Elephas maximus indicus: one gene and its partner. The protein of the gene in region 1 binds, or shares a complex with, the protein of each later gene. Links are inferred from orthologs where the notes say so. Each region holds a gene or a part of one and is shown on either strand. Other genes may lie near its edges.

Evidence for each region.
Region 2: the proteins of RNH1 (region 1) and ribonuclease pancreatic-like are in contact, whole or in part, in a crystal structure (PDB 3TSR), measured with the Mus musculus proteins. The link is inferred for Elephas maximus indicus from reciprocal best matches to the Homo sapiens genes RNH1 and RNASE1. Residues at the interface, in NP_001165571.1 of Mus musculus: Cys7, Asp32, Thr60, Asn89, Asp117, Glu145, Tyr146, Asn174, Glu202, Trp257, Trp259, Glu283, Ser285, Trp314, Lys316, Glu340, Glu397, Ser401, Asn402, Gln426, Val428, Tyr430, Asp431, Ile432, Tyr433, Trp434, Thr435, Asn436, Glu437, Arg443; in NP_035401.2 of Mus musculus: Arg26, Glu27, Lys32, Gln36, Pro48, Thr49, Gln53, Lys56, Arg57, Met60, Asn62, Gly63, Ser64, Cys65, Lys66, Pro67, Val68, Asn92, Lys94, Asn96, Leu111, Lys112, Gly113, Asn114, Ser115, Lys116, Asp121, Ala134, Glu136, Val143.

Annotation. Positions count from the first base shown.
Region 1 is NC_064825.1:137,557,811-137,565,045, reverse strand, and holds the start of RNH1 (ribonuclease inhibitor), read right to left. Parts: upstream 3,065-7,235; 5' UTR 2,974-3,064; intron 1,248-2,973; exon of another isoform or gene 1-1,247. UniProt on the Homo sapiens protein: Ribonuclease inhibitor which inhibits RNASE1, RNASE2 and angiogenin (ANG). May play a role in redox homeostasis. Required to inhibit the cytotoxic tRNA ribonuclease activity of ANG in the cytoplasm in absence of stress.
Region 2 is NC_064828.1:31,191,742-31,199,047, forward strand, and holds ribonuclease pancreatic-like, read right to left. Parts: upstream 2,820-7,306; 5' UTR 2,775-2,819; intron 2,001-2,774; 5' UTR 1,976-2,000; coding exon 1,472-1,975; 3' UTR 549-1,471; downstream 1-548. UniProt on the Homo sapiens protein: Endonuclease that catalyzes the cleavage of RNA on the 3' side of pyrimidine nucleotides. Acts on single-stranded and double-stranded RNA.

The sequences.
Region 1 (7,235 bases):
GAGACTGCAGGGTGAGGGCTGAAGGCAGGAGAGGGGAGACAGTCAGGGGGCCACTGCAGGAAGTAGGGTGGAGCTGACACCATGGAAGTGGGGGTGGCCCAGCATGGCTCACAGTGCATGGGGGGTGGGTGGGCAGGATGGCTCATGGTGTGTATGGAAGACCAGCATGGCTCACAGTGTGTGGGGGGAGACCAGCATGGCTCATGGTGTGTATGGAAGACCAGCATGGCTCACAGTGCATGGGGGGTGGGTGGGCAGGATGGCTCATGGTGTGTATGGAAGACCAGCATGGCTCACAGTGTGTGTGGGGAAACCAGGATGGCTCACAATTTGGCCCAGGTGATGGAAAGACAGAGCCACCATCACCTGAGAAGGGACCAAGGTGGGGTGGGGGCTTCAGTGTGCTGGTCAGCAAGTGGCTCTTTACTGCGTGGCAGAAACAAAGGGCCACTGATTTGCCCCATAGTGGATTTGCAGTTGGGGTCCTTGCCCAGGTGAACTCATCCGTTTAAAGTAGGCTTGCGTGGAGTGCCTGGAGGGCACTCAGGCAGAGCCTGGTCACTGGGGCTGGGGGTCCAGGGTGTGCCAGGGGTGATTGCAGAGGGCGGGGCCTGAGTGTGTGGGGCTTCCAGCTGTTGGGAAGTAGGTGGTTTGCAGCCCTGCTCCTTTGTCACTGTAGAGAGAGGGCCCTTCTCCCCTCTCAGAGCCCAGCACCCCAAGAGTGCAGGTCTCTCAGCAGGATCAGCGAAAATGCTCCACAGGGAGGGTGGGGAGAGTGGCTGGGATGCAGCCTTCAAGCTGGTGGGCATGACCGAAATTCTTGTTTTACTTCCAGGGGTAGGGTTTGGGTGCAGCAGGAGGCTCCCCAAGTTCCAGCCACTTTCAGTTCCCCACTTCTGAGCTCAGCCATGGCCCAAGGGACTTCCCCGACTTCCCCAGACTGGACTTGGTCCTAGCCTCATGCCTCTTGGGAGGACCTGTCACACTCGAGGCTAACTGACCGGTAGGCTGTATCACATCTGAGTCCCTCCAGCCGATGAGCTCTCCAGGGGCAGGGCAGGTCGGGCTCAGTGCTTGGCACAGGGTGGGCACCCAGGACAAGCTGCAGAGTGAAGACAGCGAGTGGCACCCTCTACCCTGACATAGGGAGGGGGCTGCTAGGTCTCTGAGTAGATGGGGGATGAAGACTAATGGAGGCCGAGGGTGGGCCGGGGAGGAGAGGGGCCTCTCCGTGTACTAGTCTCCCAACAAATTAACCAGAAAACAGAGATAAGCAAAGAGAATGAAACCAAAGGCCCAGAGTCCCCCGCCCCCCCCCCCACAGGTCTGCTGATGCTGTGGTATTTGCCCCCACACCTTCTCTACACACGCATACACTTTAAAAAAAAAAAAAAAAGTCTGATATTAGGTGTGTCAGAGGTGCGAGGACAGAACGAGAGGTGGTGTGATGCACTTCCAAGATGGGGAAGGGACCACAGACCAGCCCAGAAATGAGGGTGGCCTCTAGAAGCTAGAAAAGGCAAGGAAATGGACTCTGCCCTGGGGAGCCTCTAGAAGGAACCATCTCTGCTGACACCTTGATTTTAGCCTGGAAGACTTATTTTGGATTTCTGCCCTCCCAAAGACTGAAATAAAAATATCTGTCTTGTGCAAAACCACTACATCGGCGGTGATTTGCTACAATAGTAGAAAGACATTAGTATGTTACATTATAATCCTTTTCACTCAAGAATCAAGTATACAATGTAATTTTAATGGCCACATCGTGTGAGGTTGTCTGCATGTATTGTTTATTCGGCCAGTCTCCATGGTGGACACTTAAGCTGTTTTAAGGCTCTGCAGCTGATCACTCACTGTTACCCTCCTGGCACACCATCCTAGAGCCAAACACGCCCAAGTGCCCTCCTCAACTGCCCGAGCTGTCCTTAACCCTCCCGGCACCGCGTAGGCACCTCTGCTGGTACCAGACAGTTACCTCCAAGCGCCTGGAAGGACTCGTTTTACACTTCAATCAACCCTGGGACCACCTGGCCCTGGGCCCCTAGGGGCGCTGCCCCAGCCCCCCGGCCGCTCGGGGCTCCAGCAGGGGCTGAGTTGGGAGGCAGGTAACCGCCCCAGGGTCCCCAGGCGGCGAGCGGAGCCGTAGGCGAGGACCTGGGCCAGAGTTCTGGCCCGGTTCTCTCGGTACCGTGGCCCGGCCCGGCTCCGTCCGCACGGTGTCGACGTAGTCGGTGCGCACACCCCGCGCGGGACTTGCTCCGTGGGCTGCACCAGAAAACCAGAGCGCATGCAAAATTCTGGGTGCTCCTCCCCCGGGAAGGGGCCGCCCGTTCGCCGACTCTCGGGGGCCTGGCACCACCGGAGGGTGCCCGAGGGGCCGCCCCTCTCCGATCTGAGGTCACCGAGGTGCCCCGCCCCTCCCGACACCCCTGGGGTGGGACCCAGGCGAGGCCTTTCTGCCAGAGCTTCCCTTCGGGGGCGGCTCTTTGGGAAATAAGGCCAAGGGTTACGCGTTTGGGGAAGAAGCGTGGCTGCGCCGAGCCTCGCTCGCGTGGCCTGCGCGGCGCCAGCCGACGGGGAGACCCAGGCGCCCCCGCGCGCCGGCCGCGAGGGGCGGACCACGCAGGCGCACACCTGCAGCCGCGCCGGGACTCCCAGCATGCCCCGGGAGCGGGCCGAGGCCGGGGGCGGGCGCACTCAGGCGCGATGACGTCCTCAGGGCGCGCCGACGTCCGCTGGGCGGTGCTGCTGCCTCTGCAGGCCCCGCCCCCACGCCCTCGCCGGGCGCCCCTCGCCCCTACCCCGCCCCCGCACATGGCCGCTCCCACCGCCCCTTCAGCCCGGGCTCCGAGGGCCCAGCAGCGCCCGGCACACGTCCACCGGCGGCCGGAGCGAGGCCTGCGCCTGTGAGGGTGGGCCCCGGACTGCCAGCTCTCCGAGGGCCCGCGGCTGAGGGCCGCTGGAGTCACTGACCTCGGACGCGGCGACCGACGATTGCCTGTCACTGGTCTGTGGACAGAGCGGGAGACGGCGGCTCCTGACGGGGCGGGCAGGAAGGGGCGGGGCCGGGAGAGGGGCGGGGCGGTTGAAGGGGCGGGGCCTGCGGGGCGGGGCCTGCGGGGCGGGGCGGGGCCGGTGGTGAGGGGAGGGGCCTGCGGGGCGGGCGGGGCCGCGGTGGGGGCGGGGCCTCGGGGCGGCCGCGCTCGGCATTGGCGGCGGGAGGGCGGGGCCTCGCCGGCGGAGGCGGGGCCTTAGGGCGTCGGGTGGGCGTGGCTGGCGGGGTCCAGAGTCACGCGTGGGCCTGTGCCCGGCTCTGCGTGACCACGACGGGAGTCTCTGGACCCTCTCCCCGCGGGCGCTCGCCGCCTGCCTCATTGGCGAAATCCGCCGGCCGTCGTCTGTCTGTCTGTCTCTGTGAAGCTGCTCATTAAGGCCGCATTTGCCGTCCACGCGTGGGTGACGCCTCGCCTGGGGTCCCGCTGAGGGCTCGCACGCCACGGGCGCTTACTGAGCGGCTGCTCGCACCGGCGGCGTGCTGGCTGGGACGGACGGCGGCCTGATGGGGGAGACACGGCGGAGGGGGGGTGCAAGGCCTGAGGCCAGGGCTGGGGGCTGCTTCGTGGAGAATTGAGACAAGAGCAGGGACAGCAAGAGCCTGCCGGGAGCTGGCGAGGCCAGGTGTCCACCGACGTGGGAGGACACACGGCAAGGCTGGAGCCTTGGGCGAGAAGGGAAGGGTGGTCTGGAAGCAGCAGTGAGGGTGAGGACAGCTGCCCACCTCCTACTGGCCCTGCTGGAAGGGCCGATGGGGAGGCTGTGCTGGCCGGAGCCCCGGGTTCTGCTGTAGAAAAAGGCAGGAGGGCGTCAGGGATGAAGCGGACTCCCCAGGACTTACTTATATAAGTATCAAATTTTTATTTTAACAATTTTGATAGAAGTTTCTTGTTTAAATGTATTATTCTCTTCCCTGTTTTCTAAACGCAGTGTACTGACTTTAATTGGCTTTTTAAAAATTAATTTAACAAATCATTTGAGGGCTGTCTGTGGGCTGGCACCCAGCAGGTGCCTGGGAGGAGGGACGCCACCTGCCTGCAGCGCTGGCCCCATGGTCACGTGTGGGGACAACTCTCCAGGCGGCAGCTGTCACCAGTGCCCTGGAGGTCCTACACAACCGGGGTTTTCAGAAAAGGATAAAGAAATCGCGAGAAACGTTCATCCTTTCTAACATATAGCGATGGCGACGGGGCTAGAAATGCGCACATGAGGGGTGGTGTCTGCCCGGTACCCACGGCCTGGCTTCGGGTCTCCCCTGTTCTTGTTGCTTTCTTTCGCTTTAAGGGAAACCAACCAACAAGGCTTGTTGGAGTTGTGACTAATGAAGAGGAAATTTCTGAGAACGTGGGTTTGATGTCCTTACAAGAGCAAACATGCATGTTAGTGCGTAAACTCTGACTTTCGCTTTGGGCGCTTATTCAACAAGTTAGGTGTTTTGGGGCGGCTCCTCAGTTCTTTTTACTGGTCTGCTTTTCTGTTTGTCTTTACAGAAGGTGGGCTGGCTCACAGGCACAAGGTCACCAGACCCGAGTCTGATCCTTGCCCTGCCATTTCAAGCTTGGTGGCTGGGGGCAACCCATTCAATGCTTAAAACTTGATTATTTTTGTGGGTAGCGCGCACTCCCTGCAGCTGCCCCCCATGGTGGTGGTCCTCTGCACCATGCCTCCCTCCTCTAAACGCCCAGGGCTCGCGGTGGTGTTCCTGCAAAATGTGCAGAACTAGGTGCCTTTGGATTAGATTCAGGAGGAGAGGCTCAGAGTTCACCTTAGGGCTCTGGAAGGACCAGTCTATCCGGCTCCGGCCCAGCTCTCACATTCACCAGGAGAATGATGTTTTCAGGGGAGCTGCTAAGATAGTTCACTCTTCTCGATGCCAGGTCTCCTATGACACTCTCATAAGGGTGTTGTTGGCCATGTCTATCACCACTGCGTGTTCACCTGCAAGCCTCGCTCCCTTTTGTGACATCCGCCCCACGGCTGCCATGGGGCCCAGCGAAGAGATGTGGGGAGATTCCTCATCCATGCTGACCCCACACGCATCTGCAAGTTGGGAAGGTCATGCGTGTGGCAGGACTTCCCTGTGTGTGCTGGCCGCAGTCAGGGGCACCTGTGAGCTGCAGAAAGGTAAGTCTTTATTTTTAAATGTACCTTGTTCACCCAGCATGGGATTGGAGAACACAGAAGTACTTCCACCCCCAGCTTCATGTTGCCCACCCTATAGGTGTCCATGCTTGCCCAGTTCTTGAATTGCTTCGTTTCTGATTTGTTTTCAAGATCCAGCCCAAACAGGCATCTGGTGGGTGTCCCCTCGAGACCCTTCCTTTCCCGTCTGCCCTTCTGCCCTCACACCTCCGGCCCCCACACGACACGCTTTCTGAGGGTGGAGGGCTTCTGGCTGGTGTCTGCCTGTCTCCCGACACCTATCACAGGCCCTGACCCTGCAGGCTCTCAGTAAACTGTGAGTGAGGCCACAGATCACCCAGGAGGACCTGCAAGATGCAGCTGACGACACGCGGCTGCTGGGTGAGGGCTGTTGGGGGCTTGGAGTAGGGGCCATATTCCTGCTCGACTTTGTAAACACATCACTTTCAAAAGCACACATCCTGAGCACAGCAGGAGGCAGGGCCAGCACCCTGTGTCCACTCCCCAGGCCACATGTCCCCGTCCTCACTGACCTGGCAGACGGAAGGGCCACATGGGACAAACTTCTCATCCTCACTGGGCTGGGGGTGCTGGCCTCTGCGGTTCTGCCGAGGATGGGCCTGGCACCTGAGTCAAGACCTAGGGGATCAGGGAGCCAAGGTAGGTGGTGGGCCATGTGCTCAGGCCATTTATTTCCGTGGAGTCTTGGGGACTCTGGAGAATGACCTCCACGTGTGTCCGGGCTTCAACTGTGGGCACCATGAAATGGACTCGGGGTGAATGTCATTACAACCCAACCCCCTATGCATCCCCTGACCTGGGGGCTGTGCTGCTTTCCTGGTTCCCAGGGGTCGGCGTAGCCCTACAGCTGGTCCTCACTGTCCGGGTGTGGGACTTTCACAAGGCACAGTTATCCAGGTCAGTCCCCTCAGGAGAGCACAAGGAGAACCCATGGGGCCACTGTGCTTTGTGTCCCCCCCACCTCACTCTGGTCCAGCAGTCATGGGGCCGGAAAGCGACTTGGGAGTGGGAATCGGGCAAGACTCGAGCCCTGGCATGGTCTCCTTGAGTTACATCCACAGCAGTATGTGCCCACCAGGTTGCAGCCATTGTCCATCCAGTCATCTGGGTGTACCCCTGGGTGCCCCCAAACTGGCATGTCAAAAATTACCTTTGGCCCCCACGCAGCCCCAGCCTGCCCCCCCAGCTCTGCTGCACCCTCACTTCTGGAACCAACTCTGGGAGCACACCCTGTCTCCACCCTCACGGCACACCCACACCAGCTTCAGCCGCTTTACACAGCAAACCGTCATCCACCACACAGCCTAGTCTGAACCACAGTGACCTTCACGTCCTCCGTGCCGTATCCTCATCCCACTGCCCTCGGGATAAAGTCCCCACTCCACATCAGGCCCATGCAACCCTGCATGGCTCCCTGCCCCGCCCAGCACCCATACTCTGTGCACATGCACACACACATGCGTGCGCACACACAGTAGTACAGCGATGGAGGCCATGTGATGGTGTAAGAAGAGACAGATCTGTGAATGGAGTAGAGAGTCTGGTAGACCATTATGTGTCTAGAGACTTAGATTATGATATCAGTCAAGTCAGTCCCCACCCTTGGCTCTGAGCTGACCTCATGGCACACTTAAGCCAGCAGGACGTGGGGTAGGGACAGCATGCCGGTGTGAGCCCAGGCCCCTCTCTCAGGTCTCAGGCTCACGGTGGACCCTGAGCTAGCCTGCTGGATGCCCTGACATAGCTGGGATGAGAGACCCCCTGGGGAGAGCCGAGCTACCCAGCCCCAGCCCACCAGTCCCAAGAGCTGGCCATAGCTGCATGGGGGGCTGGGAGAGACCAGTGGAATGGACCCCCAGCCTAAATCCCTGGCCTGCAGGATCTGGGGCTGAATAAATGGTTTATGTCTCAGCCACTAGGTCTGGGGTGGCTTATGACACAGCAGGAGCTAAGTGACATGCCTCTCTTACATTCACTGGTTTTAGGAGACTCACAGATGTGTGCAACCATCACCACAG
Region 2 (7,306 bases), on another chromosome or scaffold:
CACACACTCCTTCCCTTCTTGTGCCTTCAGTAGAGGCTACTGTTCAATCACATCACTACTTAGAATTTTTTTTCTGCGACATTCTAAGCAGCCCTGTCAATTAATTAGTTGACACACAAGCTGAAACCTACTTGCTGTCTCGTAATTCTCTAACATTTCTTCTAGCTCTAAAATGTATGGTTCCAACTTTCCATGTACTAGAGCCAATATGCCCATTTTTCTGATTCAGTAATAGCTTATTTAAAAAGAGGAACATAATTTTATAGGCTCTACCTCCCCACCCTGAGACTGGCAGGGTCTTCCTGAAGTCATGCTATCCTTCCCTCCGTGCCAGAGTCTTGGCCATGACCCCCTTTTATCGAAAACATCCACACTGAACAGCGTTATGCTTGAAATCAAGGAATCCAAAAGAGATGGAATTCTTTCAGGTCACTAAAAACTAAGAGGAAGAAGTGTAGGCATTTAATTATTCCATTCACTACTGCCCTAAGCAAGGGGTGCAGTGGGAAACTCTCACCTTCATTGCTAACTGAGCGGTAAGGATTAGCATGAATCCAATCCCCCAAATGTGGTAATGGGTCTAATACTCGCCATCCCACTTCCCCATCCTCATCACCAGTAGCTCAAATAGCACACTTCCTCTCCAATGTTAGCCACCCAGAGCTGGGTCAGAAGTCACGAGTTAAAAGGACATCAACTCAAACCAGCTGCCCATGCAACATTTCTTGGACTCTAGCCATTCAGAGCTAGGTATGACACTAAAGGTTAGAAGGACACCATCTTTCAGATTGCCAAATAGGCAGACACCAGCCTCTCCTGGCTCTCATCATCCCTGTGGGTTTGTTAATTTGCTAGAACTAATCTTAGAACCTTTAGGAGAGTATACCATTCTTATGGCTACAACTTTATTACAACCAAAAAGGATACAAACAAAAGGACAAATAGGGTGAGGTCTGGGAGGGGTCAGAGTGAAGCTTCCATTTCCCAAAGAGGGATGCACATCCCCTCCCAAGCATGGTCACCAACCAGGAAGCTCCATTTGAGCCTTAGGGCTCAGGGCTCTTATCACCTTCATCCCATGGCCAGGATAGATTACATAATGCCTGAACAGCATCAGGCTCCTACGTTGACCCCTCTTGTGCTGGTCAGCCCCCCATTCATTAGCCTCAGGTATTAGTATGGCTCAAAAGAACAGAAAACGAAGGCCAAAATGCTTTTTGCAAAGTGATCCCACACCTCACATATGTTCACAGATTTAGTTAATTTTATACTTCTTGCCCTTGCAGGAAAGCAATTACAGAAACACTGCCTGGGTAGGGACAGCTTCAGGATTCCATGTGGTTGCAACTATATTATATAAAGAGAAGCGGTGAAGATGTAAATATAATCCCCAAATCCCCGCCCCTAACGGCCAAAACCACTGAGGGGCAAGACCCAGACCCATATGTGTGTTGTGACCTAGATGTCACAGTCATGAGGTGGTGAGGGTATGTGTGCTCTGGCCTAAGGAGGAGACCTCCACTGAACCATCAAAGTGGACAGGCACATACGGTTTCCCCTTACAGGCCACGATGATATGTCTCATCTTGTTGCTGGTCCGGTACGCACAGTTGGGGTACTTGGAGCTGCCCGTCAGGCGGCAGTCTGTGATAGGAATGCTTGAGTTGCTCTGGTGGCAGTTGGGCTGCCCATTCTTGCAGGTGATGTTCTTCTGGAGGCAGATGGCCTGGACATCTACCAGGGGATTGTGCACAAATGTGTTCACTGACTTGCAATATCCCTTTGTCATATTACGGCGCCTCATCATTAGGTTGCAGTAGCTGGAGCTGTTGCTAGGGTTGCTGTCTGAATCCATGTGCTGCCGCTGGAACTTCCTGGCTGGGGATTCCTTGCCCAGGGAAGGCTGGGCCCACCCCAGCACCAGCAACATCAGGGCTAGCAGAGGGAGCAGGACAAAGGACTTCTCCAGAGCCATGGTTGTCTCACTCACCTGGGGGAGCCTGCCCAAGAAAGGCAGAGAGATGGAAAAACATCCTCTTAGAAAGAACGCCAGCTCCCTCTTGTGGGTTCCCTGGTTTATAGTCTCCCTTTTAGGTCAGCCAGATAGAAGCCCCTCTTCCTGATTTTCCAAGTAAAGAGACACTTACATATACTCCCCTTCAGGAGCATTTTAATCTCACTAAATAGAGAAAGAGCTCCTGGATGGTACAAATGGTAAAGTACCTAAGTACAAAAGTTGGTGGTTTGAACCTGACCTAAGCCTGGCACTGCTTCACAGTACTAACAAAAATTTAAGAAGCGACATAAAATCCTGGCAGTCCTGTCTGGATCCTATAGTTTCTTTGCTCTAAAATATATTTGAAAAATAAACATTTGTACCTAGTGCTCAACTGGCTCATTAGAAAATCATTTTGAATAAACCATGAGCCCAGTCGTATCCCTGAGGTCCACCAGGATGTTTAGGATCATGGTTGACGGAGCCTTCTTGCCCTACAACACAAGGGAACCTCAACCCAGTACCTGATACAGGCACTGAAAAAGCGGTTCCACGGCATTCTAAAGAGATATGCTCCCTTTCCTAACTTGGAGGCTCCCCCTTCTCCAGTCCATAGGTTCTCTGGAGCCTTAATTTTCCACTCCCCACTCCAACTCTTCCCCTGAGCGATGATTACCTGGCCCAAGCTTTCTCTTTGATAGCCTTACCCGCCTTTGCCTCCCTCCTCTCCGACCATTGAGCAGAAGCACATTCTGAGGATATCTTTGGGGCAGCTTACCTTGGTCTCCAGGAGAGAGCAGATGGAGTTTCTGCTATCACTTGTCCCCAGGATGTGAACCTTATACAAATTGCAAAGGGTCTTGGCTTCCAAGAAGGGAGGGGTGGGAGGAGCCTGTTGGGATCAGTCCATACAGAAGCAAGGACTGAGGGAAGAAGGGTGGGGAACCACTCAAGCCACCCCCATCTCAGTGTTGCTGGGGAAAGCATGTCTTTGCTTCTAGAAGTCTTTCTTACCTTGTGAGCCTCATCTCTCTACTGATTCCCTAGGAACAGTGGAGAAAGTCACTAGGGCTGCTGGCACCCAGTCTTCACGAATCATAGCAAAACCTTTGTTATCACTTAGGGGCTAATTTTCACCAAGAACCCCTTGGAGCTTAACAAGGGCACTGATTTAAGAAATTATATTGAAGTCATTATTCCCTGTCCTTAAGGTGTGTGTTTGAGTATAGAGAATGTGACCAAGTTGGAGCTGGGCTCAGAAGGGCTCACAAGGACACATCAACTGGGCCCTGAGGTATAAAGACAATGGATAGAATAATCTCGGAAAATATCTCTTAGGGAAACTTTCACTTAAGCCAGAACACAAAAGATTTTCTACTTTTATCTTTCTATTAACATTTAGTGAATAGAAATTTGTTGGACCAACGAAGACCCTCCTGACTGTCACCCTCCTGACTGTCCTTACTGAAACCTGTACCAATGATTGTTAAGAAAGACAATTCGAAATGTAGGATGACAGTTTCTAGCCAGTCTGTGAAAAGGTGAAGCTTTCAGTGGTTTTGCCCATTTGTAATGTTAATATATACTGAGGACTCTGTAACCTTCCGTGGACTCAGTCAGACATGGCTGTGGCAGTATGGTTGTCCGTTTTCCCACTTTTGTCTATAATTTCCTTGGACTCAGGCAGACATGGCTGTGGCAGCAAGCTTATCTGTTTTGCCATTCTTGCTTACCCTGTAATATTTCCTTGGGCTCAGGCAGACAAAGCTCTGGCAAAATGATTGTCCGCTTCCCAGCTTTTGTCCTTTTGAATATATGCCTAATAAAACTTTCTTTTTGCTTTACTGAACTTGGAAATTTTTGTCCCCTACAACAGCAGGTAAAGGGATCTCAGGAGAGGGCTCTCCCTTTCTCTCCCCAGGCGTTCTGGAGTGCCCTGGCCAGAATTCCACATCTCCCAAGTGCACACCTCCTGGGTGGGGGCTTCTGATGTCCCCTGCAGGCAGACTTCCTGGATATGGAGAAGGAGAGAGAAAGGGCCTGGGTTGGGAAGAGAAGAATGCCTCTACAATGACCTCACCCAATTCGAGTGACTTCCTGCCCACCCTCGACCTTACTCCTGGAGTAATGAGGGTGTGTGCTTATCCACAGTGAAAACTCATCATGGAGGTAAAAGTTGAGTAGGGGAACTAAAGACAACTAAAGCAGCCAGAGTGCTTTTTGGAGAAAACGAAATGCAGAGAACATTATCTTTCTTAACAGCAGAATTCCCTCCTGGAAAGAGACTTGCTTTTGCTGGGCAATAACTGATCTCTCTAGAGTGAGAATTATCAAAATATTCATCCATGCTCTGGATGCAGACTGCCTCAGCCAAAAGCCTGGCTCAGCGCCTGAAGAGCTGGGCAAGTGTTGGAGAAAAGTTACTTAAAATCTACTCCCAACCCAGAAAACCTCTGCACTAAAAGAGAAGAGAAAGAAAAGTTTTATTATTCAATAAACATAAAACCAGAATGTGATACATCACTGGCAATCAGCTAAAGAGATCCCAAAGACAGGAAGGAATCTGACCCTTTATAGAGCTAAGTAAACAGGACTCACTACATTCATGTTTTCAAGATAAAATTGCTAATTTTCTTGTATCTTTTTGGCAAGATACCCAAAGTTATGCTAATCTCCTTCCAGGAGATCACATGGCAAAAGTGTTGCTTCCCAGTTCCTCCAGGTAACATCCTTTATTTACATACTTTTCAAAGAGACAATGTTTAGATAACCTTAGAAGTTATCTATAGTGAATCCTGAAAGAACAGGGGAGTGGTTCCTCTTCCCTTCTTTTCAATTTGTATTTGGCCTTACACAAGTTACAGAATTTAATTTCCCTGTTCCTTGGTTTGCTCCTCTCTAAAATGGGGGTAGTAATAGTATGTACTTCTTAGATTTGTTTTTAGGACAAAATAAGGTAAGATGTGTACAAGAAGTAGAGCACCATCTGGCATAAGAACAACTTTAAGAAATGTTAGCTCTTGTTCACTCAGGGTGGGGTTGAGGCTCCCTCTCCCCAAGGAGCATGGTGAAATAATACCAGATGACCTCTGAATTGCTGTCTAAGGGGAATGAACTCAACCATCTGCCAGATTTTTGTTTTGCTAAAAACTTGGGCTTAAAATAGCTGGCAGTTTTGAAGCCCTGGGGAGGGAAAGAAAGAAGGGGGGAGAAGAGAAGAAATTGGATGGGAAGAACAAATTCTTTAAGAATTTTAAATTGTATTTGCAATGTTGTTGACATTAGGTACCATCTAACAGGTTCCAACTCCCAGCGACCCTAGGTACAACAGGACGAAACACTGGTGGGTCCTGTGCCATCCTTACAATCTTTGCCATGTAGTATTCAAGAAATCTTTAGGAAAATCCACGTACTTGCTAATGTGTATGAATTTGGAAGAGGAAGTGGACGTAAGGAAGAGCTGATGTCGCATGAGATTTGTTTCATGTTATCGTAATTCGTCCACCACCCCAACCCCAACCAGGTTTTATTTGGCTCAGGTGGTTAGATAGTGCTTAGATCATCCTGGGGGGCCAATTTAGAATTAGTTCATGAAACAGCGGGAGTGGGGCAGAGATAATTATGGCACAGGGCCTGATATAAAGGTGCCTGGTGGAATGTCTGATTTAGTCCATAAGATTCCACCAAAGTGGTGAGCATGGCTGCATAAAAGTGGTCATTCTTTTGGTACCTTCCCAGGGCCAGAAGAATTTCGAGGATCTGGTCCAACAAGAAGAATTCAGGATCACAGTTCAGATCTTTAAAAGAACAAGGAAGGGGGGAATGTCTAGCATAAGGATGTCTTTATGTCTTATGTTTTACATCTAGGGATGGGCAGTCATTAGGCAGCCTCCAAAAGCCCAGCACGACCCCCCAAACACACACACACACACACACATACACAAAATAGTATTCTGTGGCCCCTTGTCAAACTGAGAAACTGAGGAAGCAGAGAAAAATTAGAACAGAAAAAGATGGAAATGTGAGCCAGGCAGAGCGAGGTTGTTGCTGGGAACTCCAGGTTCTGCTCAGTGCAACTCCATCAGAGCCAGAAAGACAGACCGAGCTGGGAAGAACGAAAGGCATCTTTATTGGTAGACCAAGGGAAGAGGCAGCCTGGGCTGTGTGCTATCCAAGACTGCCTTGAAGGGAGCTTGTTGAGCCTGGTTTATATAGGAAGGATCAGTTTCAGAATACAAAAGGGCATGTGGGAAGGTGCAGAGCATTTCAGAATGAGTATTTTTTAAGGCCTGGGTTCCATTCTCAGTGCAGGAGGAAGTTAGCCATTTTTGTTCATTAGCATGTTAGCTCTCCACCTTAAAACAAAAAACAACATTGCTGTGGAGTGGATTCTGACTCATAGCTACCATGCATGAGGCAGTTAAGGAGCTAAAGACTATCTGAAATGCCAAGATCGGGGCAGGACTGGTTTTAGCCAGCCTATGGTTTTATGGTTGTTTCTCTTCAAGAGGTTCTGAGGAGGAAAGAAAGAATTCCAAGAAATGGGCTGAGTGAGGGGCTGTCTTGAGGCTAAGAGAAAATGGCTCTGTGGCTCTAGCCCTGCCTTAAGGTGAGCAGTGATTGAAAGAGGAGAGAAGAGAGGGGAAAGGATGAAATGGCCAAGAGGGTTATCCAAAGTCAGTGCAACCCCTGACTTCTTCCTCGTCCTGAAAGAGGGTAACAAGTAGGACACCATCTCTCAACATATCGATTTCCATCCAAAAACAAAAAACCAAACTCATAAGGACCCTACAGGACAGAGAAAGAACTGCCCTCATAGGGTTTCCAAGGAGCAACTGGTGGATTTGAACGACCAGTCCTTCAGTTAGCAGCCGAGCTCTTACCTCTGCGCCACAAGGACTCCCATTTCCATCCAGAAATCCCAAATGTGAATCTAAACCCAGTATATAAGATAGACCTTTCTTTTTGCAATTTTTTTGTTATTGTTGTAAATATATATGTAAAAAATCATTTGCCCTTTCAACATTGTTCAGGCGTACAATTTAGTGGAATTAATTATGTTTATCATGTTGTCCAACCATCACCATTCCCAAAATTTCCCATTACCCTTAACAGAAGTTCAGTGTCCACTAAGCCTAATAAATATGGTCTCTATACCCTTGCCGATCCTAGATATTTCATATAAATGGAACCATCTGCTATTTGTCCCATTATGACTGACTTATTTCAATCAGCATAATGTTTTCAGGGTTCATCCATGATGTAGCATGTAGCAGGACTTCATTTCTCTTTATGTCTGAGTAAAATGTA